7 linked regions of the Mus musculus genome follow. The protein of the gene in region 1 interacts with the protein of each later gene in a pairwise test. Links are inferred from orthologs where the notes say so. Each region holds a gene or a part of one and is shown in the gene's direction. Other genes may lie near its edges. The genes, in order: Mtus2, Prkaa2, Smarce1, Usp2, Lnx1, Setd5 and Enkd1.

The links.
Region 2: the proteins of Mtus2 (region 1) and Prkaa2 interact in binary tests that used the Homo sapiens proteins (3 or more experiments, as listed by UniProt). The link is inferred for Mus musculus from reciprocal best matches to the Homo sapiens genes MTUS2 and PRKAA2.
Region 3: the proteins of Mtus2 (region 1) and Smarce1 interact in binary tests that used the Homo sapiens proteins (3 or more experiments, as listed by UniProt). The two-hybrid records come from large-scale screens. The link is inferred for Mus musculus from reciprocal best matches to the Homo sapiens genes MTUS2 and SMARCE1.
Region 4: the proteins of Mtus2 (region 1) and Usp2 interact in binary tests that used the Homo sapiens proteins (3 or more experiments, as listed by UniProt). The two-hybrid records come from large-scale screens. The link is inferred for Mus musculus from reciprocal best matches to the Homo sapiens genes MTUS2 and USP2.
Region 5: the proteins of Mtus2 (region 1) and Lnx1 interact in binary tests that used the Homo sapiens proteins (3 or more experiments, as listed by UniProt). The link is inferred for Mus musculus from reciprocal best matches to the Homo sapiens genes MTUS2 and LNX1.
Region 6: the proteins of Mtus2 (region 1) and Setd5 interact in binary tests that used the Homo sapiens proteins (3 or more experiments, as listed by UniProt). The link is inferred for Mus musculus from reciprocal best matches to the Homo sapiens genes MTUS2 and SETD5.
Region 7: the proteins of Mtus2 (region 1) and Enkd1 interact in binary tests that used the Homo sapiens proteins (3 or more experiments, as listed by UniProt). The link is inferred for Mus musculus from reciprocal best matches to the Homo sapiens genes MTUS2 and ENKD1.

The regions. Positions count from the first base shown.
Region 1 is NC_000071.6:147,956,033-147,960,260, forward strand, and holds the start of Mtus2 (microtubule-associated tumor suppressor candidate 2 homolog), read left to right. Parts: upstream 1-1,287; 5' UTR 1,288-1,689; exon of another isoform or gene 1,690-2,003; intron 2,004-4,228. UniProt on the Homo sapiens protein: Binds microtubules. Together with MAPRE1 may target the microtubule depolymerase KIF2C to the plus-end of microtubules. May regulate the dynamics of microtubules at their growing distal tip.
Region 2 is NC_000070.6:105,106,926-105,111,302, reverse strand, and holds the start of Prkaa2 (5'-AMP-activated protein kinase catalytic subunit alpha-2), read left to right. Parts: upstream 1-1,404; 5' UTR 1,405-1,504; coding exon 1,505-1,598; intron 1,599-4,377. UniProt on the Homo sapiens protein: Catalytic subunit of AMP-activated protein kinase (AMPK), an energy sensor protein kinase that plays a key role in regulating cellular energy metabolism.
Region 3 is NC_000077.6:99,213,956-99,217,637, reverse strand, and holds part of Smarce1 (SWI/SNF-related matrix-associated actin-dependent regulator of chromatin subfamily E member 1), read left to right. Parts: intron 1-2,351; coding exon 2,352-2,524; intron 2,525-3,502; coding exon 3,503-3,604; intron 3,605-3,682. UniProt on the Homo sapiens protein: Involved in transcriptional activation and repression of select genes by chromatin remodeling (alteration of DNA-nucleosome topology).
Region 4 is NC_000075.6:44,065,693-44,069,980, forward strand, and holds the start of Usp2 (ubiquitin carboxyl-terminal hydrolase 2), read left to right. Parts: upstream 1-1,328; 5' UTR 1,329-1,528; exon of another isoform or gene 1,529-1,539; intron 1,540-2,345; exon of another isoform or gene 2,346-2,603; intron 2,604-3,736; exon of another isoform or gene 3,737-3,839; intron 3,840-4,288. UniProt on the Homo sapiens protein: Hydrolase that deubiquitinates polyubiquitinated target proteins such as MDM2, MDM4 and CCND1. Isoform 1 and isoform 4 possess both ubiquitin-specific peptidase and isopeptidase activities.
Region 5 is NC_000071.6:74,626,400-74,630,081, reverse strand, and holds part of Lnx1 (E3 ubiquitin-protein ligase LNX), read left to right. Parts: intron 1-1,720; coding exon 1,721-1,962; intron 1,963-2,581; coding exon 2,582-2,734; intron 2,735-3,682.
Region 6 is NC_000072.6:113,147,063-113,150,744, forward strand, and holds part of Setd5 (histone-lysine N-methyltransferase SETD5), read left to right. Parts: intron 1-377; coding exon 378-676; intron 677-2,492; coding exon 2,493-2,626; intron 2,627-3,039; coding exon 3,040-3,128; intron 3,129-3,682.
Region 7 is NC_000074.6:105,705,337-105,709,688, reverse strand, and holds the start of Enkd1 (enkurin domain-containing protein 1), read left to right. Parts: upstream 1-1,480; 5' UTR 1,481-1,532; exon of another isoform or gene 1,533-1,765; 5' UTR 1,766-1,780; coding exon 1,781-1,865; intron 1,866-1,945; coding exon 1,946-2,140; intron 2,141-2,950; coding exon 2,951-3,123; intron 3,124-4,352. Other genes in the region: 4933405L10Rik (uncharacterized protein C16orf86 homolog), read right to left, coding at 1-28, 105-289, 676-893, 1,174-1,257. UniProt on the Homo sapiens protein: Microtubule-binding protein which regulates microtubule organization and stability. Promotes the stability of astral microtubules and facilitates the proper orientation of the mitotic spindle.

The DNA.
Region 1 (4,228 bases):
ACACTGTCAGCCGATGTGGTGGAAGATGGTCAGGTCTGCCTGTGGGATGGGGGTGGGGGTGGGATGAGTCCCTGGAGGAGTGGGAGTGGCCCGAGGAAGGAGCTGTAGCGCCAGGACCTCATTCCTTGCACCTGGGAGGCATGGGCTTCACAGAGCACCCAAATAGGAAAGTGAATGGCACAAAGGAGGCTTTACTATCTTTCTAGGTTTAAGTCAGGCTGGGGTTTGTGAGTTAGGGGAAGGGAGGGGCGAAGGCTTAAATGAAATGAGCTTAAAGTTTGATTTAGATTGGACTGGACTTTGTAATAACAGCCAGTCAGACCGCTTGTTAACACCCGAAGGTGACAGGAAAAGCGATAAAACGTGCCCTAGATTCCTCCAGAAGAAATGGGAGGCCACATAGAATAATGTAAAAAGACAGCCGTGTGAAAAGTGCTCTTTCATGATTTCCCTTCACAATATAGACCAGTTAGTACAAAAATTCAGCTGGTATAAAATGTTGCTCGGCACAGCAATGCTGGGGTGGGGGAGGGAGCCCATTTTCCCCACACTCCCGACCCCCAAGAGAAAGCGAGCAAGCACATCAGTAAGCCAGCATCTCATTGTCTTCTCTGTCAGTCTGTCCCAAATCTTGTGAGCCAGAGGCTGGAGAAGCCCCCCGGCTGTCTTCAGGCTTCCCAGGTGCGCTGCTTTCAGGCGACCTGGAAGGGCTACTGAGAAGTCCTGCGTTCATGTTTACTTCTGAGGAACGTTGTGAACTACGAAGCAGACAAGCTTGCGTTGAGACAAGAGTCTTTCAAGTGGGTAGCCGGCTATGCATTACCCCTAGATTTGGAGGCAGAGGCAAGAGGATATCTGTGAGTCTCAAGTGAGATCCTGCCTCAAACACCCCAACTCCCCCACCCCCACCCCCGCCAAACCCGCACACAATCACACACAAAACCCTTACAGAGACTTCTTTAGTCTCCTGTCCATCAGCCCCGCTACATCCCTTGCGAGTTCACCCGCTGGACCCCAATTCTTCCTGCTGCACGCAATTAAAAGAGGCTCTCTCTTCCGATTGGACCACAGCACATCCCACTCGTGGGAGTCAGGAGTCTAGGTCAGCGACCTCAGGCTGCTTCTCCTTTCTCTGGGGTCTGAGGCTGGATGCTCCGGACCACTGTGGTCCCGTGAGCTGCCGGGTCGTGTCGGGCCAGCAGAGGGCGCTCGGCTCCCCCCACGGGGCTCCGGACGAGAGGAGGCGCCGGGGCTCGCGAGCATCTCCGGGCGGCCGGGAGGGGGTGCGCGCCTCGGGCCGCTGCAGCCCGGCTTCTGTCACCGCGGACGGCACCTCACTGGAGGGTGGGCGGGAGCGGCGTCTTTGTCCGGCGAGGCGTCCTCAGCCCGGGCCATCCCTGTGATCAGAGCCCGGCGGCTTGGGCGGTGCCCAGTGGTGAAGTGCGCGGGCGGAGGGCTGGCTGCGGCCACGGCCCCAGGTACCCCGGTGCCCTAAGCTCGCCACCTGCGCCACCTCAGCCCGCGCTCTGTCAAGTTGCAGAAGACCCGGGTGGGTCAGGAGTCTGGACGCGTGGGCGCGTTGCAAACTCCAGCTGCGAAGGAGCTGCGTGCGGAGGTAGCCCGGCCCGGGATGCTCCCGGAGGCTGCTCTGGTCTCTCTGCACATCCTTCTTGGCTCCTCCAGACCCAGGTGAGCGACTGCTGTCCGCGCGTCCCGATCCGGCTGGAGACAGGTGCAGAGCGGGGCGGAGGCGGTGCCTTTTGCTGGCTTCTCTGGCATCAGAGAGCCCGCTCCCCGCTGCCCACATCTTCTGCTCCGCCGGAGAGAGGCTGCAACCCACTCGCACCTTCCGGGGATGTCAGGTTGAGCACGGTGTTTCAGAGGCGACAGCGGGTTAGCCTAAGCGAGCTCCCACCCCTCTCCACCCCCAGCTCGGGATAATTCGGTCCGTGTCTTCGTCTTAATTTAGCACCGATGTGTTATTTCCTTGGAGCCCTAGAATGGTAAGGCTTGCTCCATCCATTTTTCAACCCCCTTCATTCTGAGTCTGTGCAGGGAAAGGCTTGCAAGTGATGTTACTACCGTTCTATTTTAAATACAAACACCCAGAGAAGTACGCTTGGCGGCGTGCCAGAGGCGCCTGCACTCTTTTGTTATGTAAGTGCTTCACAGGAATATTTGCTGGTTGGTAAAGTTAGGAGCGGTTACCAGAGAACGTAAGAGCGCAGGAAGTCAGAGCCATAATTTCTGTCTTAGCTCAAAACTTTCCTTCAGGATAAGCATGAGATGGTTTTGGTATCATTTAAAGGCGACAGGAGGTCCTTTCAAAAGAAAAATTCATACCGTAGACTCTCAAGCGTTAAGACACAAAACAGGCTTTTTTTTTTTTTTTAAGTCTGTTATGAAAACCAGTGGGACGTCTCTGACAATAAATAGGTGGGAAGTGACTTAAAGAAATAGATCCCTGTCACATAGCCGTTTTGGCTTTTAAGTTGTTAGGTAGTTGTATTTTGCTGTCACGTGGACATAGCTAATCGTGTGTTGACAGTTATTAAAGATCTCTGCTCACACGTACCGTAATTTTTCAGGTACAAAGATGAGAGTGGAAAACATCAGATACGCATCTTGTTCTTACTGGTTTCTGGTGATGGCATTTGTTATGTGTGTGGCTCATGTGGAGTCAGGGTTGTGACTGTTGGTGGGCATCGTTTCGTGCTTCGTTTAGTCTCCAGCAGCATAAGGTGGGGCTCGGTGGGTTCGAGGTACCCCAGCCAGGCGTGTGACATATAGGGAGAGAAACTTGTGTTTGACTGGAGAGAAGCTAAAGATTTTAGCCCGGGTCTTTTTCATCTAAGTGATTTTCCTGCTTGTTTTCCTTGCAAAGAAAAGCTGTGTGTACCGGGGGTCCTTAGTACCACAGAGGGTACCCATGGGAGTCTTAGTTGGGGTATAGTGCATTGTGCAGAGGAAACCCTGAAAGTTCAGTAGTTTTGGGGAGAGGGAGTGCCTTCTTTTTGTTTGCATGATTTTTTTTTTAAAAAATTGTTTCACCAAGGATTATTTTTCTCACTGAATGGATGTTTTCATATACTATATAGGAGTGCAATCAGTCAATCAGGTGCACAAAAGCCTTTTTGGTAATTTTAAGGACAGAGGGAAAGCTGGCATCTTTTATAAGTCCACATTTCCACAGCTTGGGGCGGGCTTACAGAGGCTTTATGGGAGCTTATGTAAGAGCCACGACGGTGCTTTTGGTACTCGGTTAAACTCCCTGCTTTGGCTATTACATAATTGACATGGAACTAGGCTGTCAGAGCTGAAATCGTGAGGGAGAATGTATAAAAACCTAGGCTCATGTGGGATGCACACAACACACACACACACACACACACAGACACACACACACACAGACACACACACACACAGACACACACACACACAGACACACACACACACAGACACACACAAACACACACACACACACAGACACACACACACAGACACACACACACACACACACAGACACACACACACACACACAGACACACACAAACACACACACACACACAGACACACACACACACAGACACACACACACAGACACACACACACACACACAAACACACACACACACAGACACACACACACAGACACACACACAGACACACACACACAGACACACAGACACACAGACACACACACACACACACACACACACACAGACACACACACACACACACAAACACACACACACACACAGACACACACACACAGACACACACACAGACACACACACACAGACACACAGACACACACACACACACACACACACACACACACACACACACACACGGCTTTATAATGAATAGCTGCTGCCAAATTAGAGGGAGCAGCAGGGATGGTCGTTTGTGAACGGGAGATAAGAACTGTGTCAGGAGGATGGCTGGAATAGAAAACTGTTAGGTTTAACAATTTTCTAGAGACCTGAATGCTGGCTGAAACTACTGCAGCCCTTTCCATGCTGGCTATACAAAGAGGCTGGGAATCTTGGCCTTCTGGTCCCTCACCTGGACTTACTTTGGGAGGCCCTGGGAGGAGCACTGGCTGTTTATTGTGTGGTTTTGTAGTTTTGGTTTCTTTTTTAAATAGGGAGGATTCCCGTGCCACTCTCTCAACCCTAATTTTATAAGTCCAAGTTTCTATGAACCTTGAATCTGTTCCATTTTCT
Region 2 (4,377 bases), on another chromosome or scaffold:
ACATTTACCTGCACATGTAAATTATTTCCTATTTCTTTTAGTATTTCTCCCTTGTCCCGTATATAATGCATATCTACACACATGTATGCAAGTGCTGAAATATACTTAGGGCTGTGTCTATGATTTATTGGGAAATTTTGTTCAAATGAGTTAGAATTGAGAGTCCTGAAGAGAATGTCTTTTATCTCTATAACACGATTGTCTATATAACTGAATGAAGAAAAGAAATAAAAGGAGACCATAACTGCTCCTGGGTATGGTGGATGTGCTGGCTTGTCATATGGCAACTTGACACAAGGTCATCTGAAAGGAGGGAACCTCAACTGAGAAAATCCAGCTGTAAGGCTTAATTAGTGATTGGTGGGGAAGGGCCCATTGCGGGTGGTTCCATCCTTGCGCTGGTGGTCCTGGGGTCTGTAGGAAAACAGGCTGGACCAGCCCTGATGAGCCAACCAGTATGCAGCAACCCCTCCCCAACCCCCCATGGCCTCCGCATCAGCTCTTGCCTCCAGGTTCCATGCATTGAGTTCCTGTCCTGACTTCCTTCAATGATGAACAGTGCGGTGGAGGTGTAAAAAATAAACCCTGCCCTCCCCAACTTGCTTTCTGGTTATGGTGTTTTATCGCAACAATAAAAGCTTTAACTAACACAATGAGGAAGGCCTGTTATAGATAAAATGAACATACAGGCAGAAGCAGAGGCAGAGACACATGGTCAGACTCAGCAGGGCCATGTGAGGAGAGAGAGGGAGGGAGAGCAAGAGAGGAGCCAAGCCTAAGAGGGGTGGGTGGCCTGGGCTAAGAAACTGGCACAGCCAAAATGGCTGAATTATCTAGGGATCAGAGGACCTGAGGGAAGGGGCAGCTCAGTCCCCGGGCTGGAGAGTTCAGGGTAGGGGTCAGGGTATGCCAGGCAGGAGGACCCTATACCAGGTGGGGACTAAGGGATGCTGAGAGAACCAGCGTCACGTCACCTTTGCTATGTTAATGCTAGGCGTCTCCGTTGGCAGTTTGTCTGGGGGTTGAGACCTAACAATAACACGACCAGGAACTACAAAACAATGGGACGCCATCTGAAGAGGGTACGGACTAGAACGTTCCCAGACAAACAAACCTTGGCTAGGGGGAGCGTGCCAGGGGCTAGGGGCGGGCCGCCCTCTCCAGCGCCTTGCCCTCTGGTCCCGAGGCATGGCTCACGGTCTACACCCCGTCACCCCCACTTCTCCTCAGATTCTCCTTCCATCTCGGTCGCGCTCAGATTCATCCCTTCCATCTTCACCGCCCTGGGCTTTTCTCGGGACGCCTCGGCTCTGCTCCCCCAGCCTGCGTCCACACGCGCCGGGCTGCGCTCTCCCCACCGCGCCCCGGGCGTCCCCGTCCCGCCCCCCGGGCCCGCTGCACTGTGGGTAGGCGGCGGCGGCGGCGGTGGCGGCGGTAGCGGCGGCGGCAGCGGTAGCGGCGGCGGCGCTCAGAGCCCGCGGCAGGGGGAGCCCGTGCGCCGAACATGGCTGAGAAGCAGAAGCACGACGGGCGGGTGAAGATCGGACACTACGTCCTGGGGGACACCCTGGGCGTCGGCACCTTCGGCAAAGTGAAGAGTGAGTGCAGCGGCGCGGGCGGGCGGGCAGGCGCGAGCGAGGCCGGGTGGCAGGTGGAGCGCTCGCGGGCGAGCCCGGGGCACAAGCACCTGGAGCCGCAGCCCGGGCGTGGGTCCGGGGGGACCAGCGGTTATGGGGTGTGCCTTGGCGGGGGGTGCCTCCGAGCGCCCTGTCTTTTCTCTATGCCTCAGCTCGCTTGTCTGCAGAATTGGGCGATTGGCCCAGTCCGAAGGGCCCCGAAGCGTGGGGAGGATGGGGGAGTCACGGCGCCCGCCGCGAATTGGGAGGGGGTCTCCCACTGGTGCCAAGTGCTCTGCGTGGAGCCTCATCTGTGGTCACACTTAATCCTTAACGTGGCACCGGCCGGGTGCGGTCCTCACCTTAAAGGTGAGAGAACTCGAGCTCCAAGGCTTCAGAGACACGCCCAAGGTCACAGAGAATTGGCAGATTCAGGGTGAGGTCTAAGATGTCCTCCAATTTTGGCCTTGCTGATGAGGTCCCTGCCTTTCCCAGATTCTTCCCTGTCCCAGTCCTTTGATGGTGGAGTTGACCAGGGGCATGCCCATAGCAGAGAGGTGCCAAGTCCCTCTGCTGGGTGTGTGAAAACGCTGGAATGCAGCGGGTTGGACAGAGAATTTAGGAGAACCCCTAGCTCTGTAGGTTGATTGGTTCAAGGAAGGATTCTGTGGTCAGGGTCTGGGAGAAAATGTTGCTTGGTGATCGACTTTGGGTCCCCAAGAGGTCAGACTTGCTTAGGCAAGGGGTATGTTTGTTGGTGAAGGGACTGCTTTGGGGGTTTTGGAAAAAAACTGGTTGCTTTTGAAATGTCACACTGCACTAAACTAGTTAAGTATTAAACTTTGCTTTGCTTTCTTATTAGTTAATAAGAGTCACATGGGGTTTGATTACCCGTCCTTTTAACAGAACTACAGCTCTTGTTAAAAAAAATACTTGGTAGCAAGTTGGGAATTAAAAGTGAAACATTAGCCTTTTGTTGTTGTTGAATAAATATCGGGTAAGCAGTCTGGGGATTTTATGCTGAGGCTTATTTTCTACATTTTAACCTCCAGTGAAGGTTTGAATAGAAGGGAGAGACTCCTCATTCCTGCGAGGATTAACTCCTCTTGGTGTATCTAATACCGGTTTGTACAACTAGAAAACACTGAATGCTCTCACCACATGCGGGGAACTGTTCTGGGCAACGGAGTTCTAGGAAAGAGCAAAACCTGAGCTCTCCTGGGACTTACTCGCTATGAGGGAAAGACAATCAGAATACATGTGAAAAGTATATGGCCCCCTCCTATTGAGAAAGGAGAACAGGGGAAGGAAGGATGGAGCCTTTTGTGAGGTTGGCAGATTATATTAAGGTGCCACGTGGCCTCACGGAGTGGGTATTTTTGTAAAGACCTAAAATGTTTGTAAAATTCTTTGAAGTCTTGTGAAGTTGGGATCTTGTAAGAGTTGTGGATAGTTGGGAGATGATAATGATAGAGATTAGATAATGATGTTGCCACCATCTTTGCAGAGAACTGCTTTGCTGTGGCATTGCAAAGTTATGCAAACGGCTGCTTTGCCATTTAGGGTAAGTTATATAACTTAGCCTATATGCTTTCATGTTCTGCTAAGTGCTTTTGTTTGCGCTTGCTTTTTTTTTTTTCCTCTTGATGTAGAGTGGAATACCCGATCTGATTTCTCAGGCCATTGTCAAGGGATAGTTCGAAAATATTTGGTTATAGTCTCTGTCTGCTTCTAAGCGCCAGCTTCCTAAAATATAAATGGAGCAGAAGGGACCTTTGGCTTATGAGAAAAATCTTTTTCCTGGAGAACCCTGCTGGAACGAGCTGTTTGGATTTCTCCTGACCATTTTATCTTCCCTAAAGAGATATTCCCTATGTGGTGTGATAGTTACTATTAATTGTCAAATGCACACAAGGAAGAAACACCTAGGAAGGGAAGCTTAATGAAGAATTATTTAGATCCAGTTAGCTTCTGCGCATGCTCAAGTGGGAAGCCCTCCCCCATTCTGGGCAGTACTGTTCCCTGAGTTTGGGTCCTGCGCTCTGTTAAGTATAGAGGGATGGGCGAGCATGATGAGCAGGCCTGCCTGCATGTGTTCTCTCTCTCTGCTGGTGACCGAGGATGTGCTTCACGTTCCTGCCTTGACTTCCCTCAAACGGACTGTAGCCTGGAAACTGAATTAAAATAAACCCTTTCTTCCCTAAGTCACTTTTAGTTGGGGTGTTTTATGACAGAAATTAAGCTAGGTCAAGTGGGTTTGTAATCAATACAGCTGTAGTTGTTAAGTCAAGGGGCTGGTGAAACAAAGTATATGCGTATTAAGAATACATTTTAGGGCTGGAGAGATGGCCCAGTGGTTAAGAGCACAAACTGCTCTTCCAGAGGTCCTGAGTTCAATTCCCAGCAACCACATGGTGGCTCACAACCATGTAATGGGATCTGTTGCCCTCTTTTGGTGTGTCTGAAGACAGCTACAGCTCATATACATAAAACAAGTAAATCCTAAAACTTAAAAAAAAGAGTACATTTTAATTTATTATTTGACATTTCATACAATGTGCTTTAATCAGAGTCCCTGCCCTTTCTCTTTCCAACTCCTTTAATGCCCTCCCACCAAATCTCCATTCCAATTTCACATCTGTCTATCTTTACATATATATCTATCTGCAAATCTGTGCCTGGGTATAGAGCCAACCACTGGAACACAGGTAACCTACTAGAGGCCCCCTGCCCCCAGCCCCACGAGCAGCCATGAACTGCC
Region 3 (3,682 bases), on another chromosome or scaffold:
GCAAGCCTCTGTATGTAGCAGGGTTTCTTTCCTAAAGCACGGTCCCTGCATCTGTCTGAAGTGCGAGAAGGATTAGGTCTGGATGGAGAGATGGCTCAGCAGTTAAGAACACCAACTGGTCTTTCAGAGGTCCTGAATTCAATTCTCAGAAACCACATGGTGCCTCACAACCATCCATAATGAGATCTGATGCCCTCTTCCGGCATGCAGGTGTACATGCAGATAAGAGCATTTGTGCATAAATCATTTTTTAAAGGGGGATTAGGTGGTTCAGAGACAAGCTTTGTTTTGATTTATATTGGAGGAAAACACTTGCTTTGTTTAATGAGTTAGTGTAAAAAGACTATTCAGCAAATACTGATTCAGGTTGCTACCATGCATATGGAGGGGACAGCAGGATAAAGGAAATACTCTGGGGTTACTGGAAACGAGCATCCATGCTGGGTGGGGTGGCACACACTCAGCATCCCAGCACAAGATTCACACAGATAGAGAGGGCTTTTTAAATGACTCTCAAGAGACTAGGGCAGGAAGTAAGGCTGCTTTGAGTTCAAAGCCAGACTGGGCTACATAGTGAAATTTTGTCTCAAAAAGATCACACCCCCTGCGGTGTGAGCACAAGTACTTCGGTTCACATCTCCAGGACCCATGTAAATTGCGTGGCTTGGCACATCCCCGTAACACCAGCACTGGGAGCTGAAACAGGCAGATTCTGGCACTTCCGTGGGCAGCTAACCTAGCCAAAATGGTAAGCTTCCAGTTCAGTGAGAGGTGTTGACTTAAAGGGATAAAGCAAAAAGAGATAGAGAAGACACGTGTTACCTCTTCTGGCCTCCACATGTATGTACATGTGTGTGCACACCTGTAAACCACATGCATGCATTACACCAAAAAAATAACAACTCCCACACATAAACATATAAGCCAAATGTGTGCTATATGTACCTAAGTTTAGATGGCACCTTTACAAGCCATGTACAAGTATCAACTGGCAAAATTAAAAATAAGTTTAGAATCAAGTATCTGTGAGTAGTGTGAGTGCGTGCGTGTGTGTGCGTGCGTGTGTGTGCGTGTGTGTGTTGGTGTTGGGTGCCTTCCTCATCTCTTGTGATAAGGTTGGGTCGGTGTATGCACTATGCTTCCCTCTCCAGGTACATGTGGAAGGTAGAGTGACAACCAGATGGTTCCTGAATTGCTTCTCTGCACTATTTTTAGACAGAGTCTCTCTCAGTGAAACTAGAGCTTGCTATTTTAGCTAGAATGACCAATGAGTCTCCAGATCTGCCACACCCATCTTTTACTTGGATGCTGCCTAGGATCCAAATTTAGATCCTCATGCTTGCCCAGCAAATGCTTCATCTCCCAGCCTTTAAATCAAGTTGTGTTTTCTACAAGATTAGTTTGGGTCTTTACTATTTTTTAATGTGATAAAACAAAAACTACCTGAAAACACTAAATATTACTAGAGAAGATGGTGATAAGTTAATTTTTACAAATGGATATTTTCATTAATTTTAACAACCATGATAAAACTACTTCCCAGTTATAGTGTAGCATCTATCAAATGCCTTTGATAATTACTAGGAGAATGGAACATTGGGCAGGATTTCAAGTTCTGCCATCACATGTAGGTGTTACATGGATCCTAGGACTAAAAGAGATGTGAGCATTTGTTGTTGGTATTTTAACCAAATATCAGATACACATCACCACATCACTTTTTTTCTTTTTCTTTTTTTCTTTTTCTCTTTCTCTTTTTCTTTTTCTTTTTCAAGACAGGGTTTCTCTGTGTAGCCCTGGCTGTCCTGGAACTAACTGTATAGACCAGGCTGGCCTTGAACTCAGAAATCCGCCTGCCTCTGCCTCCCTAGTGCTGGGATTAAAGGTGTGCGCCACCACTGCCCAGCACACATCACTATAGCTTCTCAACCTTCTAGTGCTGCAAGCCTTTAATACAGTTCCTTATGGTGTGGTGACCCCTAACCATAAAACTACTTTTGTACCTACTTTATAACTATAATTTTGCTGCTGTTGATAATCATAATGTAAATATCTAATAAGTCAGATATCCAGTATGCAACCTGTACTCCCTATGAAAGGGTTGTTTAATTCCTCAAAGGGTTCGAGACCCACAGGTTGAGAACCACTGCCTTAGTGGGTTTATGAGAACAACACTTGGGTGGGTTGTATCTTCTGTCTCTGTGGTTCTTACCATAGCCTGCCCAGATGCCTCTGATGTTAGGCAGGCCCACCTGCTAGGACACTGAGGACCACACTTACTGAGTGACTGCTTGTTCACATTGTGTTGTGATAAGTGGTCACTAATTTCCAGGACATTTCATTCATTCTAGACTATGATGATGGCTTTTCAATGAAGCACACAGCCACTGCCCGTTTCCAGAGAAACCACCGTCTCATCAGTGAGATCCTCAGTGAGAGTGTGGTACCTGATGTGCGGTCGGTTGTCACAACAGCTAGAATGCAGGTCCTCAAGCGACAGGTCCAGTCTTTAATGGTTCATCAGGTAAGTTCAGAAAACATTCATTATACTAGAAGGAGTCTGTGTCACACATCCCAGATAGTGTGATGTTGCGGTAATTCTCCAACCCTAATATGCCCCAGCAATGAAAACACAACTCGATTAATAGGAATACAAGCTGTGCCCCTAGATTGGGCAGATCTACCGCTACACTCCCATCTTCCCTACCTCCTCTCTCCCACACCTCCTCCTCCTCCTCTCAACTTTCAGCTCCACCTTCCCTTTTTTTGCCCAATCACCAGCTCTAGCCTTTATTTTGCCAATTAAGGTGGGAAGAAGGTTTGCAGGAAATCACCTAAGTGCAGCCCCTCACAGGAGACCTGAATTAGCATCAAATTACAAATAGCCTCAGAGCTAACTGCAGCTGTGTGACTCTGCTATAGTCATAAGTAGACCTGTGAAGTAGAGCCACCTGAGGCTGAAAGGAGGGGACCATTCAGGAAGCTTAACAACTTTGTCATTAAAAACTGTAATAGAACATTGTGGTGGCATGTATATCTATTAAGAGATGGATGCAAACTGGAGGATTTAGGGATCCCATCAGCCTTTGCTACATTACTATTCAATGCCCCCCAGATTTATTCATTAACATCTTATCAATCCCAGCATGCCTCTATGCTAGACTTTTAAAATTATAGCTAGATTTCATTTTGTAATGCAAAATTAGTGGGCTGGAGAGACGGCTCAGTGGTTAAGAGCATGTTCTGCTCTTGCCCAGGTCCTGAGTTCAGTTCCCAGCACCCATGTAAGGTGATTCACAGCCATCTGTGATCCAGGCCATTCGGTGCCCTCTCCTGGGCTCCATGGGCTCCTGCGCTGGTGTGCGTACCCACACGCACGTACACACGATGGAAATGTCAAATTACACTTGAAAGTAATATCTTTAAATGGCATGCTCTCTGCACTTTACATCTGCCTTAGAGAAAACTCATAACGATACATATCTGGTCTGACACCTTACAGCGGAAACTAGAAGCCGAGCTCCTTCAGATAGAGGAACGACACCAGGAAAAGAAGAGGAAATTCCTGGAAAGCACGGACTCCTTTAACAATGAACTTAAAAGGGTATCCGTTCCATTCACTGACTACCTTTATCATGCGCCAGTTGCTATTTTTCTTAATGTTTCTATTGAGTGTTGGTCA
Region 4 (4,288 bases), on another chromosome or scaffold:
AGTGAGTTCCAGGACTACATAGAAAAACCTTGCCTTGAGGAAAAAAAAAAAAAAAGAGGGGCTAAAGAGATGGATGGCTCAATGGTTAAGAGCACTGACTGCTCTCCCAGAAGACCTGGGTTCAATTCCCAGCAACCGCATGGCAGCTCACAACTGTCTGTAACTCCAATGTCTGATACCTTCACACAGACATACACACAGGCCAAACACTAATGCACATAAAATAAAAATAAATTATTTTTTAAAAAAGAATAACTCTGATTTTTCTTAGGGGGTGTTATCTAATTTAACAATAAATAACTCTTAGAAGTCAAGTTTGCAGGCTGGATAGATGGCTCAGCAGTTAAGAGCACTGTCAGCTCTTCCTAAAGGACCAGGGTTCAATTCCCAAAATCTAAATGGCAGCTTACAACTGTCTGTAACTCCACCTCCAGGGGATCAATCATACATGCAAGCAAAGCACCATTGCACACAATAACTAATTGATTAAAAATAAAGTCATTTGCTTAAAATTAAAATACAAGTTGCATCTTTTTTTCTTATTCTAAACCTGATAGCTTAGATGAAATGCTATCCTTTCTTGGGCTAAGTCCTCCCAGTAGTCACCTAAGCGAACTGCATTAGTAGACATGTACAAGACACTTGACATTTATTTACCACTTGAACATGGTCTCCCTAGGCTTCAGCTACATTGTGCAATAGATGACTATAGTGGTTCTTTTACAGGACCATTAAAAAGATTAAATGAGAAAGCTAATATATGCAAAGTACTTATCACCATGTCTAGTAATGTACTTAATAAGTAGCCCATAGAATGCGTCACTTGAATAGTCATGTACGTTGATAGTGTGTTGAATGGACATAATCTTTTTTTACCTGATTGATTGACCTATGGGGCTCTATAAATATTGCTATGAGATATACATGGTTGTTTAAATAAATGCATTTTTAAATATAAATAAATAAAATAAAAAAGTAGGCAGAAAAAGAGTCTATGGAATAGAACATTCCCAGCCCGGTAGGAAAGCCTTCTCTAAGATCTGAAAGCTGGAATGTTGCCTTTTCCCGTGAAGTGACCCTCTGTCTCAGTCTTCCCAGCGCCAGGACCTATCAGATTCCAGTCCACTTCTTTCCTTGCGCCACCGGCTCCAAACAGGCGTGCTTTTTCTCCACGTGGTTCTCTGTATATACCCGGTTACCTGGGAGATGCGCGCCGGGCGGGGCTCTACTGACGCAACAATAGGAACAAGCCAATAGCCATGACGTATATCAGTGACGCAAACGCGGGGTGTGGTTTGGCCGGCCCGGGCGCAATGAGGCTGCTGCCCGCTGGGTGGCGCCGATTTCCCGGGGAGGTCCTTTCTGGGCCCCCGGCGGAGGTGGGGGAGAGGCGGGCAGGCACCGAGCGAGGCCAGGGAGCCCTCTGCGTCAGCCACTGCTCGCTGCGCCGCGCCAGTACCAGCCAGGACTCATCCGCAGCTCCATGCTTGTGCCCGGTTCGACTCGTCCATCCTCCGAGAAGAGGCAGGTACGTGCCACCTGTCGCAGGTCGGGGAAGGAAAAAGCCAGGGTCAGTACCAGCTTTGAGACTCGGAAAGTAGGGTGTCAAAGGCAGCCTGGGCAGTCTGGACGTGAGAAATGTAGGGCGAGGGCCAGATGTGTGGAGGGGGAGACTCCAGCTGTGGGTGCCAGTGTATGAGAGGGGCTGCCAGCTGCCAGCTCGGGGTGCCAGGAAGAGCCATCTGTGTGCTGATCAATGTGTTCTGAGGAAACACTGTAACCGCGGGTACAGGTCTCCCCGCCCTGTGTGTTGTGTAGCCCGAGAATGACCCCTGGACCCTGACACCCCCCTCTCCCCACGTGTGTGTGCAGCTAACAACCTCCCTGTTGTTAAACATCCCGGGGCTATCTCTTGGTCAGTTTTCCAAAGCGGGGGAAGGGGCTTAGGGGAAGCTAGCAGTTAAGCGGAAGGGAAAAATTTTCCACCAATCCCAAATCAGAAAGAGGCAACTTTGAAATTCTCACCAATCCCAAAGCAAAAGCAGCCATGCAATGTTCTCTGACATGCAACTTGCCTAGGGGAGTCCTGGTCAACCGTTTCTAGCTCTCCAGAGAAAAGAGAACTCCTAGCTCTTAACCCCAGAGCTTTTGAGAATGAAGTTGAGTTGAAGATTCTAGTAGGGGTTGCTTATCTCCCCCAAACACGGGCATATAAGCTTGCACACACACACACACACACACACACACACACACACACACACACACATCAAACCACAAAACAAGAGGCATGGAGAACTGATGGATGGCCTGGGGTGGGGGATGTCCCCTACTCTTTGATGCTGTAGGCGCATGCCGCTCTGGAATGAGGATTGGAATGAGGGCGTCCTCCAAAGTGCATCACCAGGACCCAGTCTGAGTCAGTACCTTGTGCTGAGACAGGGTGGAGGCACCAGCCCTCGGGCCTTCCAGTCTCCAGGGAGAGCCATCAAGAAGCAGAAGATTCCTCTTGGGAGCAGACAGGTGCACCGAGGCCAGAACGATGGTCCTCTCATGACCCTGTCCAGCCTGCCTTTGACACCCTGGAACCCTGAGCCCTCCAACAGGTAGACTGGAACTGCTCCTCTGGAGCCAAACATTCCCTGGCAGCCCAAGGAAGCCACACTTGATTTTTTTTTTTTTTTTCTGAGCAAAGGGGAAAGGAGCCCAAGTAGGCTTGGCCTGTCGCCTTGGGAAAGTGGCAAAGTCTGTCTGACCTTTCCATTTGGGGGACGTGGATTGTTTCAGAAAACTGCAGGAATATTATTTGCCATCAGCAGTTTCCTGAAAGGTGGCCCAAGGCCTTTTTCTTCTAGGGTTGCCTGCTACAACTAACATTAGTGACTTGACAGTGAACACGGCCAATAAGCTTGTCGTTTGTTGTACTCTTGCTATGTTCGAGGAGACTTAAAACTATTATTTTATCCTCACCATTGTGAGACATAGTCACGACTGTTGTTATTCATGGGTTTTGTTTGTTTGTTTGTTCCTTTGTGGTTTTTTGTTTGTTTGTGTTTGGTTTTGTTGAGACAGAGTTTCTTTGTGTAGCCCTGGCTATCTGCTTTGTAGACCAGGCTGTCCTTGAACTCAGAGATCTGCCTGTTTCTGTCTCCCAAGTGCTGGGATAAAGGCATGTGTCACCATGCTAGTTCTATTATTCATGTTTTACAAACTACATAGCTAAGATTCAGAGACCTGAGTATCCTCACAAGCTATCTTAGATCCAATACAGGAAAGAGTAAGAATTCAGGCCTAGACCTACAAGTCCACCTTAAAAACAGTAGTGGACTGAAACCCAAGTGCTGATCCTCCACCCCCTCTGTCCATGTCCATAGGACGAGCTAGGTCCTCCCCATCTTAAAATTCTAGCATCTGGTTTAGCAGTTTGGCCTCTTCCTGTTCGCTCAACCTGTGACTGACAGCGCTAGAGAATCCACCTTCTCCATGTTTGGGACTCAAATTTATCCCCAGCCCTCTGCCCCCCATCCCCCATCCCCTTGATCCTTCCTGTTATTTCCAAATATTCCCTCCCAGGATTCTAGCTCATTCTCAACTTTCCTCCAGCCACTAGGCATCGGGTGGACGGTGGGCTTGTCACTGCCCCTTTAATTCTCCTGGGGCTTGGAATGCAAGTGAGTTGCCATCTCGGAGAGGTCAGATAAGATACTATATATATCTAGCTAGCGTAACCTGAGCTCCGGATTACCCAGGCCCGGTCAGACTCCAGCCTCTGGAGGCTACACAGCAGTCTTTTCCCTTCGGGGAAAGAAGCCCCCAGGCTCCATCCAGTGCCCCCAACACAGGTCAGTAGCTCTCTCTTTGGTGTCTGAGCTTCAAGGACAGCTAAGTAAGCCCTCAGTGTGTGTGGGGGGGGGGGAGCATTTGAGAGGCCACCCACTGGACCTGGTGAGTGCTGTAACCAAATGCTCCTCAGGGTATAGGGACAGAGGACAACTGAAGCCCTAAAGGAGGGGAGCGAGGACGCTCTAGAGCAGGGAGCCCTAGGAGGGGTACTTGGGCATGAGGAGGGGAAAGAAAATTGCAGGCTACCTTCTGCTTCTAGGAAGCCTGTTTCTTTGCCTTTTCTTGGGCTTGTAGAGATAGCCATCCTTCCTAACACCAAGTCAAAAAAAAAAAAAAAAAAAAAAAAAAAAAAAAAACATCCCGTAGTGAGCCCTCTGGGCCCACCACTTCTCCACAAACCAGGATCTTTTTCATCTCTGATCTCTTCACCTTACCTCTTCATCTCCCA
Region 5 (3,682 bases), about 73 Mb from region 1:
TCCTTTCATAAACACAAAGCATCACTCAAATAAAGTTACAAATGTTTATCCAGTTGGGTAGAGTGGTGTTCACGTATAACCTCATCACTCAAGAGACCGAGGCCGGAAGATTGTGAGTTCCAGGCCAGCCTGAACCACACAGCAAGACCCTGTTGCAGAAAACCTAAATGAATGAAAGAAAGAATGAATGAATAAATAAGTAAATAAATAAATAAATAAATAAATAAATGTTTATTTTAAGTAGTTCAGTTACAACATGATTACTGTGCTCTTTCTTAAAAAAAAAAAAAAGAATAAATAAAAAAAGAGCCAGAGCGATGGCTCAGTGGTTGAGGGCTGACAAGCTTGAGGGCAGAGTTTGATGCCTAGAACCCTCGTGGCGGGAGAGACCTGACTCCCACAACTTGTTCCCTGACTTCTTTGTGAGCTCCTCCTATGTATGTGTGTGTATACACACACATACTCACACTCACACACCCACAAATAATAAGTATAGAAAAGGACGGTAAATAAGTAGAAAAATAAAGACTTCAATCATACAAGGCAGTGGTTCTCAGCCTTCCTAAGGCTGCGACCCTTTAGTACAGTGCCTCATGTTGTGGTCACCTCCCGCCCCACTAAATTAGTTTTATTCTTACTTCATAGTTGTAATTTTGCTGCTGTTATGAATCATAGTATACATACCTGCATTTTCTGATGGTCTGAGGCAACCCCCACGACAATGTCGTCCAGGGTTTGTGTGATAAACGGAGAAGACTAACATAATCAGTAGCCCTGTGTCAGGCCAATGCCACTCAGAGGAGTTCTTTAGAATGACTTCTGCCGGATCAGCAGCTGTGTCATCTGACACCCTCTCCAGCAGAACAGTGTGTTAGCTAAATCATCACCAGTTTCTGACCAGACCGTTGTCAGCGAGCTGAAATGATTGGCCCAGTGGCAAGGAAACATGTTCGTAAAACTAAGGATCCAGATAGGCTCAAACGCTGGTCTTCAGAGCCCTGGGCATTCCTCCCTCTCCCTAATGTGCCAATGATGGTCTACTTTACAGTGTTTGGGTTTTGGGAAAATGCAGTGAATAAAATGGATAGAGAGATGGACAGAAAGATCTCTGTTGTCAATAAAAAAAAAAATCAAAGATGTTTTTCTCCCCCGATGCTGTGAGATGTGACATCTTTCAGTGTGTGAGAGCTCCTGGCATTGACTCCTCTGAAGAGCATGCAAGGCGCTACCAGACCAACCTAGCAACAGGAATGGAAGCCATCACACCCGCCCCCTAGAGACTAGCAGTTCCGAGTAAACCTTGTGGCTTTGTGGCGAGTGCGATTCTGTTTCCATGGTCGGCTAAATACAGGATCTGGGAGTGGCCTTGAGTATTTATGTCCAATGCTGTGGGATCTAACCCAAAAGAAAGGGGTGAGAATGTGATTAGGGGTTTTGGTAGTCAAAATAAACAGTCACCAAGTCCAAATGTTAGAGATCCCCGTCCTCAACCCCAGTCAGGTAGATGTGATTTCCTACTGCTTGACAGTAGAGATTATATGCTAGGAGAATATAACAGGCAATTAAAAACAAATTATTTCTCAAGTCATTAATGTATTTGGCCGGCCAGCATATATTGAATTCTTATATGTGAAAGGGAGGGGTGTACATGGACAAGCATGTGTATTGATTGGGGAAGTTCTGACTAAACATTCTAAGTGCCCCTCTGGTTTTATTCCAGCTGCAAAGGGGCCTCCCACTATGGCCTGACCAAGGACAGGAAAAGGCGCTCTCAAGATGGCTGTCCTGATGGTTGCGCCAGCCTCATGGCAACGACGCTCTCCCCAGAGGTTTCTGCAGCCGCCACCATCTCTTTAATGACAGATGAGCCTGGCCTAGACAACCCTGCCTACGTGTCCTCGGTGGAGGATGGTGAGCCAGTAGCCAACTCCTCAGACTCTGGCCGGAGCAACCGGACTAGGGGTGAGTCAAAAATGGGACGGTGTCTGGGAATGGGCCCGTGGTTTTCCCTGGGATTGCCCTCTGTAGAATACCCGTGGTGGAAAGTTCTCAAAATGTTTTTTTAAAGGGGAAATGGTTCTGGTAGTTTTGGCCGACACTCAATGTCCAGTTCTCCAACAGGAAATGAAAGTTTAAGTGACCATGTGATCTGACTTGGTAATGGAGGGTGAGGTGAGGTCTGATGATTTACAGTTCCTATAGAGAGGGTACCTCCCCTGCCTTCTTTGGAAAGTAATGTTCTATCCACTCCCATCCAAGGGGGAGAAGAGATTTTTTTTTTTTTAAATAGTGAGATATGTTATTTTACTACATAAAAAATTTAGAACTACAGGTAAATAGTGATCACTGTTTTAATATCCCAATGTCCCAGTTCATACGCTTTAGACCGAAAAGATTTCTTTTTTGCTTGTTTTGAAGCAACACCTCACTCTGCACCAGGGCTGGCTCTGGCCTCCTGAGCTTCCTGGCTACCTCCTGAGTGCTGAGATCACAGGCACACAGCAGCACGCTTAGCTAGCAGATGGTTGCGGTGAGCCTGTGCCTCTCATCTCCATTGATCTCTCTCTCTCTCTCTCCTCAGCACGGCCCTTTGAGCGCTCCACTATGAGAAGCCGGTCTTTCAAGAAGATCAACCGAGCTCTAAGTGCTCTCCGGAGGACGAAGAGCGGGAGTGTCGTTGCCAACCATGTTGACCAGGGCAGGGACAACTCTGAGAACACCACTGTCCCCGAAGGTAAAGGGAATCTCCACTGCACCCCGAGGCTGGCTGTAGGCTAGTTTGCCAGAGTCACTTGAGGGATGGTGGTAGCCTGACCAATGTCCACCCTCTGTGACCTCTGTCTTTCCAAGGGTACATAGCCTTGAGTGACCTCCTCATTTGAGTAAGGACAGGGACTCTTGGTTTCTTTGTTGTCTTTTTACACAGGTGAGGAAAAATTCGTCTGTTCCTGGGCTCCAGGTGCTGGCTTAATGCACATGAAAATAATGATTATAGTTAGAGTGTGAAAAGCATTTTACTTCATTCTCACCCAATGGCACTGTGCACAGGCTTCTGCTAAAACAGAAAAAGCCACAGACACTGCGAGTTCTATATAAACTGACAGCAAGTTAGTGCCTTTGTTTTGCCTATTGTTTTGATTTTCTTTTTTTAAAGAATTATATATATATATATATATATATATATATATATATATATATATATGAATGAATGAATACACTATAGCTGTCTTCAGCCACACCAGAATAGGGCATCAGATTCCATTACAGATGGTTGTGAGCCACCATGTGGTTGCTGGGAATTGAACTCAGGACCTCTGAAAGAGGATTCAATGCTCTTAACCACTGAGCCATCTCTCTAGCCCCTGTTTTGATTTTTCTATACTAATTTATTTATAGTGTGTGGGTGGAGGTGGCTGTGCACACCTACATACACATGTACTCACGTGCCACAGTGCATGTGACTCATGTGACTGTCAAAGGACAACTTGCAAGGGTTGGTTTTCTCCATTCACCATGAGGGTCCTAGACTGGAATTCAGCAAGTGCCTTGAGCCACTGACCCATCTTGAGGGCCCTTAAAAAGCATCTTAGACTGAAGCTGGCACATTGGCTAGACTAGTATTCTTAGTGTACACGTACCTACACACACACACACACACACACACACACACACACACGGTGCT
Region 6 (3,682 bases), on another chromosome or scaffold:
TTACCAAGGTGATAGTAATCTCACAAGTTTCTCTGAAGAAAGTAAAAGGATATAGTCTTATTTGAGCACCATTGTTTGATAGAATATTTTTTGTCCTCACCAGTTTCTGAGTGGCTTGAGTCTGTAGCACTGCTCAGATCTCTTTTATACCTAAAAAAAAGATTGTTATATAGGGACTGGAAAGGTCCCTCAGTGATTCAGAGCTCAGTTCCCAACACGCACAGCAGATGGCTACAACTGCCTGTTGCTCTCCTCTCCAGTAGTGTTCCAACTCCTGCACTCAGCCTGTGCACACACACAGCTGTAAATACAGTAAAGGCTATTACAGTTGATACCTAAGCCACTCACTAATGATACATTTTCTTTTTCATATCTAGGTATCCTTGCTAGAGTACCGCAAAAGAAAACAAGAAGCTAAGGAGAATTCTGGTGGGGGAAATGACTCTTCACAGAGCAAAAGCAAGTCTTCAGGAGCTGGGCAAGGCAGCAGTAACTCTGTTTCTGACACTGGTGCCCATGGTGTGCAGGGATCCTCAGCCGGAACCCCGTCATCCCCTCACAAAAAATTTTCCCCGTCTCATTCCTCTGCATCGCATTTGGAGGCGGTAAGCCCGTCAGATTCCAGGGGCACTTCTTCCTCTCACTGCAGACCTCAAGAAAACATCAGCAGTAGGTGGTAAGTTTATGTTTAATTAGCTTTATAATTAAATTCAGGTGGGAAGTTACACATTCATTTCCAGTTTTACCTGAAGTTTTTGGAGCACTTATCTAAGACAGGCAGGTAATTTGCCATCTGTTTGTTCAGCTAGTTAGTGTAAGCCAAATCTTCTCCCTTCAGAGACTCACTGAACAGTGAGGTTTTGGGTGTCCACGCGCTATTTTTTTTTTTTTTTTTTTTGATGAGAGGTAAGTAAACAGTCCAGCCAAATCGCTCCCCTCCCCCACCCCTTGTGTGCACGTTCATATATGCACTCTTGGTCACTCATACATGCATATGGAGGTCAGAGAACACTTAAAGGAAATAGTTCTTCCCTATTTAAAGGAAATAGTTCTTCTGGAGATTGAACTCAGATCTTCAGACTTAACCTTTACCTACTGAGCCATCTTGCTGACTCTGGTTTTCTCAAATTGAAAAAGAGCTGTGTCCCATGCTGCTAGCATATACAGAGAAATGCAAGACGGTCTGAAAAGAGTTGTCTAGTTTAGAGGCTGGAGAAACGACTCTGGTTAAGCGACTAACTGATCTTCCAGAGGAGCCAGGTTCAATTCCCAGCACCCACATGGCAGCTCACAACTGTCTGTAACTCCAATCTTTGACACCCTTATACAGACATACATGCAGGCAAAACACTAGTGCACATAAAATAAAATAAAATAAAATAAAATAAAATAATTACCATCTCACAGTTTTGTGCTGGAGAGATAGTTCAGTGGTTAAGAGCACTGACTGCTCTTCCAGATTTCCTGAATTCAATTTCCAGCAACCACATGGTGCCTCACCACCATCTGTAATGGGATCTGATGCCCTCTTCTGGTGTGTCTGAAGACAGTTACAGTGTACTCACATACATAAAATACATACATACATGCATGCATGCATGCGTAGACTTGTCAAGGTTAGAAGGTATCATAAAAAATAAGTAATATTAATGACAAGTTCTCAGTATTGAATGAGATAGTTTCTTTTGTTTTTTTCTTTTGCAATTTTTTGACATAGGTCTCATAGCCTTGAACTCTTTGATCCACCTGTCTCTTCTTTCTGGGTCCTAGGGTTATAAATATGCATCACAGCTAGGAGTACAGCATTCATTCTTTTCTTTTTTCAGAGGTGGGGTGTCTACATTTGGAGACTCGAGACCACCTTACTTTATGATAAAGGATCGCTCACTGAACCTGGAGCTCACTGATTAATCCCGAGTCTCTGGCCAGTAAGCTCCAGGGATCCTCAAGCATGGGATCTTGAAATGAGCCTGGGAAAGAAGATACAGGTCTCAAAGTATTATATTCTTTAATCTCTAAGAATCCTATAAAAAACTATTTCAAAGCTGGGCATGGTGGTGCCTTAATTCCAGCACTCGGGAGGCAGAGGCAGGTGGATTTCTGAGTTCAAGGCCAGCCTGGTCTACAGAGTTGAGTTCCAGGACAGCCAGAGCTACACAGAGAAACCCTGTCTTGGAAATTCAAAAAAAAAAAAAAAAAAAAAAGAAAGAAAGAAAACTATTTCAAGAACACAGTTTCAGAGGAGGAAATTTCACATTCAGACAGAGTTTAAAAGAAGTTAATATCTTTAATCTACTTTTCCCAGATTGCTTTCTCACTGCCCCTACTTTTATACATTGCATAGTTTGAAGCAGAGGAAATGCCTTGTTCTCAGTAGGTCCTGGAGAAAATAGTGTAAGGATGGTTTAAGAGTCTGTACTACACCATCTTTATCATGGTGATTTGTTTCAGACTCTTAGCCCTTAATCTCTGTGGCTTCTGTACCTTTGCAGGATGGTTCCTACATCAGTTGAACGACTCCGAGAAGGAGGTAGCATCCCTAAGGTTCTTCGAAGCAGTGTGAGAGTTGCCCAGAAGGGAGAGCCTTCTCCAACATGGGAGAGTAACATCACAGAGAAAGAGTCAGGTGAGCTAAGGTCTGCAGTTCACAGCAAATGTTGGGATAAAGTAAGTTAGTTTCTGACCTACTCAGGTTCTGCTTTATGCTAGCTTCCAGCTCAGTCTTACTCTTTGGGCTACAGTATACGTGAGATCTAGCGTTGCTTGCTCTCTGTCTGCTCTTTTCCCAAGGGATACTTTTCTGTAACTCTCATCTCCAATGTTCCGGAGCTCCACCTTCATGAAGGATGAAGAGAAAGAAGGAGACGAGAATAAGATGAGGCATTTAAAATTTAGCGCATAATTAACCACTTACTATGCCCTTCTGGCATGCTGCGCTCATTTTTTCACAGAGATCAGCATGTATTGATGATTTGACTGAATGATACCTATTTCCTATGTGTTCTAAGAAGCCAAGTTGATTCTTGTAATGCCTTCCAGACCCTGCAGATGGAGAAGGCCCAGAGCCATTGAGCTCAGCACTCTCTAAAGGAGCAACTGTTTACAGCCCTTCCAGATATAGCTACCAGGTAAGTCAAGAGACTTCTGGGCTCTAGAGAAAGAAGTGCCTGTGGAGTTCAGATCCTGTGTTCCTAGTCGTGACACACTGTCAGCTGCTAAAGTCTGCATAGTATAGCCCTGTAAGTCAGGCATCTGCTCATCTGCTCACCTCAGGGATCTTTTTTTTTTTTTTTTTAATTTATTATTATATGTAAGTACACAGTAGCTGTCTTCAGACACCCCAGAAGAGAGCATCAGATCTCATTACAGATGGTTGTGAGCCACCATGTGGTTGCTGGGATTTGAACTCAGGACCGTCAGAAGAGCAGTCAGTGCTCTTAACTGCTGAGCTGTCTCTCCAGCCCCACCTCAGGGATCTTAGTAAAGCAAATGCATGCATCAGAAACTGATGTTTGACTGCTTTTGTTAGCCATTAAAATGTTCTGGGGGAAGGAGGAGCAGGCTAATGATGGCTCAGTGAGTGAAGGCTATCAAGCCTGATGACCTGAGTTTAATCCCCAGAACCCACACAGTAGAAGAAAAGAATGGACTCTTACTGGTTATGCTGTGTACTCCACATTAC
Region 7 (4,352 bases), on another chromosome or scaffold:
CCTGCAAGAACCCAAGGCAGAGCAAAGGCTAGAACACCAGGCTGTGCCATGTCAGCCTCAGAAGACAAAGAAAACAAGAGAAGAGCCCAGGGACTGCCACTCACGCTCCAACCCCAAGGTCTCGGCGGCGGGTGCGGATGCGCTGGCCACAGCGGGCGGCACAGGAGCCCCGCCACTCTTGCGTTTCTTGGCTTTTTTGTGCTGTTTCGAGGACAGTGAGGATTCACTGTGGCTGCCTTCTGGCTCCTCCTTCTTCTGCAGCACCCCCGGTGGCAGCTCAACTTCTGACCTAGGATGGACATGGTGCTTGGCCCTGGGAGGGCTGGGGAACCCAAACCTGGGACAAGAGGCCTGAAAGAGGCAGGCTTCAGTCTTTGGTTCCTATATCTTGAGCCTAGGGCTTACCCCTGCCTGTCCACTAGAGCTAGTTAGCTGTCCATTTCTTAGACAGTGAAGCTCCAAGCCCAGTAGAGGCTCAGCATTTATGGTAGCTCAGTCTCCTTGCAAGATCTAGAAGTCCCAAATCCATACCAACCCCCCAGCCCCCAAGTTCTAGAGTTGGGAGTGAGGGGTATTGGTCAAAGACAAGAATCTCTGCCTTGAAGGAATGGGGATTTAGGAATCTCCGGGCATAAGACCCACCTTCCCAGCCCTTCCCTCCGAAAGCCCTCTCACTTTCTCTTGGGCCCATGAGCTGGTCTCACGATGGATGACGTAGGCTTGGGTCCTCTCTCCTCTCCTGCTTCCACCCCTGCATTGAGCCCTTCCTCTCCCACCTTTATTCCTTCCTCCTGGAGCTCTGGCTCTAAGCTGTGCCCCACGGGACACTTGTCTTCGCCTGGGCTCCTGCAGGTCTCATGTGCCGGCACCAGACACTCTTCTGTTCCTGGACACTAGAAGATACACATAGGTCATTGGGAGCCGATGGCCAGGCAAAGTATTGTGGGGATCAGTTATTCAAAGCCCAAAGCTGCTGCAATTGGAGTACATCTCCCTTGGTTGGGGGGGTGGTGGTGTCTCCTAACTACATATTGGCCACAAAATATGAAGGTAACCAGCTTAGGCCTCTCTACTTGTAGGGCTTGGCCTGGCAGTTAGAGGGTTGGGTTACCTAGAGTCCCACCTCTCCTGCCCTACCCCTCCATCTCCCGAGCTTTGAAATGCCCAAGTCACCTCAAGGCTCTCTGCAACCTGGGCTAACCCTACTGCTGCCCCATTCTGGGTTTCTGGCTGCCTCTTGGCCCCTTCTGAGGCCATAGGCTATGAGGAATCAGTGCATCCCTCGACAGTTGATCAGAGAAAACCTCAGGCCCAGAGCGGGGCTGGACTGGTACTCAGTGCTGGTAGGGGAGACAGGTTGAGAGGTAAGGCTCCTGTTGAGACCCGAGACTTAGAATCACTCCTCATCTGGAACTACAAACCCCAGAAGGCTGTTCGCCTTAGTCATTTGACCCCTGACCTCAGGAAGCCATTTGTTGCCAAGCAACAGCAACTCCTACCGGCTTGCAACAGTTGGCGGTAAAACTGCTCCAGTGAGAGCCCTCGCTGGGGCTTGGCGGGGGAGGGGCGGCGAACCCCTCTGGGCAGTGGGCTAGTCGCGGGGCGGTGGTACAGTCTGCGCCTAGAGACGGGCGGTCGTCGAGGGGTGGGGCTCGGTGATGGGGGCTACCGCGGGGATGCAGGGCTCGGGTGGAGGGTGGAAGCACCCGACAGGGATTAGAGGGGAAAGTTGCGCAGCGCAACAGGCCCTGGTGCACTGTTGCAGGGCTGCGGTAGGATCATGTGCGAGGGCCCGTCCCGCATCTCTGGACCCATCCCCCCAGACCCCACTCTCTGCCCGGACTACTACCGGCGGCCGGCCTCGGGTGAGTTGCGGGGTGCCTCGGCGGGGCGAGTACCCCGCCCCACCCCTGAGCACGGCTTTCCACCGCGTCTTGCTCCTCAGCCCAAGGACGCCTGGAAGGAAACGCGTTGAAGCTGGACCTGCTGACTTCAGGTCGGGACCTGGACTCCAGTCCTCCTCGTGGCCCTCGCATCAGGCCTGAAGCCCGAGAGATCCTAGAGCGTGGCCAGCGAGGCGTGGGGGACGTGCTGCTGCAACTGGGGTGCATCTCCCTCGGTTCGGGGGTCTCTCCTAAGAGTAAGTCCTTGCAGACGGGGTATTGAGGCATTCTTAGGTCAAAAGCAGAGATTAAAATAGGGTGCTTCTTAATTGCCTTGAGCCCATGCAGTTAATGTTCTTTTCTGGGTCTTAGTTTCTCTAGCATAAAAGAAGGGCAAAATACAATACCTCCTGGCAGGATCAGAGTCTATCCTTCTGCAGAAAGCCCTCGCTTCAAGCTTTCACACCTTGATGGAGCATTGTTTACTTAGTGCCTACTTTGTGCCAAACCCTGTAGCTGTTAGGAAAACGGGGTTAAAAAGTATGGGAGTCGTCCCAGGGTAGGGTAGTATCCAAGGGAGGCTTCCCCTTCTCTGAGGAGAAGAGAAAGGGGTAATGGGGGGGGGGGGATTTGGCACAGGCAGGACTGGGAGTAGAGGGGCTACAATTGGGATGTGTGAATTTAAAAAAAATTGGCGGGGGGAGTATGGGAGTCACAGTTGGAGGCAATGAACAAGACAGGCCATGTGTATAATATACACGGTGATTAATGGTATGCTAAATCATAAAATGTAGAAGATAACCAGGAGGGTGACTGTGGAAGGGAATAAGCTGATAACTGTGCTGTGGGTATGATGTCTAACTTCCATGAAGAGGCCTTGGTTGTATTTAAAAATGTGTGTGTATGTGTGTGTGAACCCAGGGCCTCTCTTCTACCAGACATCTCCCAGATTGTCTGAGAGGTCTTTCTGCCAAGGGTAGGGTGTGAATCTATATTCGATCTAGTCCGAGGTGCATGGCCATTTGGTAGGGCTGTCCCTAGCAATATTCCTCCCTGCACCCTTCCAGGGAAGAATCCAAAGGACCATGAGAAGGAAAACTTGAGGCGGATCAAAGAGATTCAGAGGCGCTTCCAAGACCAGGAACGCAGCCGGGAACAGGGTCAGCCTAAGCCACTGAAGGCACTGTGGCGCTCACCCAAGTATGACAATGTGGAGTCTCGAGTCAAGGCCAGGATGAAGGTATCTGTCCCAGGGAGGCAGACCTATCCATCTTGGCCAAGGCAATTATATCTGATCTAACTTACAGAGCATGTGTGTGCGTGCGTTCATGAGTGCGTGCGTTGGGGGAGATGGTGATCACAAAAGACTAAGACATCTGGGTGGACTTTCTCTGGGGAGCTGATGGCATCAGGTCAAGGATTAGGCTAGAGGAAGAGAACATTCCACAGAGATAAAACCCCACAGGTAGATTCTGGCATCAGAGGGAGTAGGGGCAATGGGCATAGTGGGCATAATTCAGTTTGTAAGGGGGAGAAGCAGAAGGTTTGAACAGAAAGCCAGCAGGGTACATATCTGAAAGAACTACCTAAGTTACCTAGTTACATGTGATATTGGAGATGGAATCGTGAGACACATGCACACTAGGTACTCATATAATATACCCACGACCTTCCTGCTAACTCATTCTCGGTTCCCCTATCTCTGTGTCTCTGTTTCACGCAGCCCAGGCTGACCTCAAACTCTTTGACTTTCTTTTTTGTTTTGTTTTTGTTTTGGTTTTTTTTTTTTTCGAGACAGGGTTTCTCTGTATAGCCCTGGCTGTCCTGGAACTCACTTTGTAGACCAGGCTGGCCTCAAACTCAGAAATCCGCTTGCCTCTGCCTCCCAAGTGCTGGGATTAAAGGCATGGGCCACCACGCCGGGCTACTCTTTGACTTTCTAACTCTCCTTTGTCCACCTCCTGAGCGCTGGGATTAAAAGTGTTCACTACCACACTACTTTCTCTTTTTCTTTTAATTCATTCATGACTTCTTTGAGATTAAAAAAAAAAATTACATGTCTGTGTGGCTACATGATTGTCTGTGCACCAGAGTCCAGAGGAGGGGATGGGCCTCCTGGGACTGGAGTTACAGAGAGCTGTGAACTGTCCTGTGCTATTGCTGAGTTGTTTCCTACTCCCACCCCCAACCATACCCCACCCCCACCCCACTATCTCCACTGCTACTTTGTTTCTAGACAGAGTCTCCCTGTGTAGCCTAGAATAGCTTCAAACCCATTATGTAGCCCAGGCTGGCCTTGAACTGGCCTAATTTTCCTGCCTTAGTCTACCGGGTTTGGACCACCACTCTCAGCTCATTTCTTTGAGTTTATAGCTTGCTCTTTAGCCCCAGGCTCTCCTTGGGTTCTCTCCATCACCTATCCTGGCCCTAAACCCTTACTCTTTCTCCTTCAGCCTCCTGAGACTACGG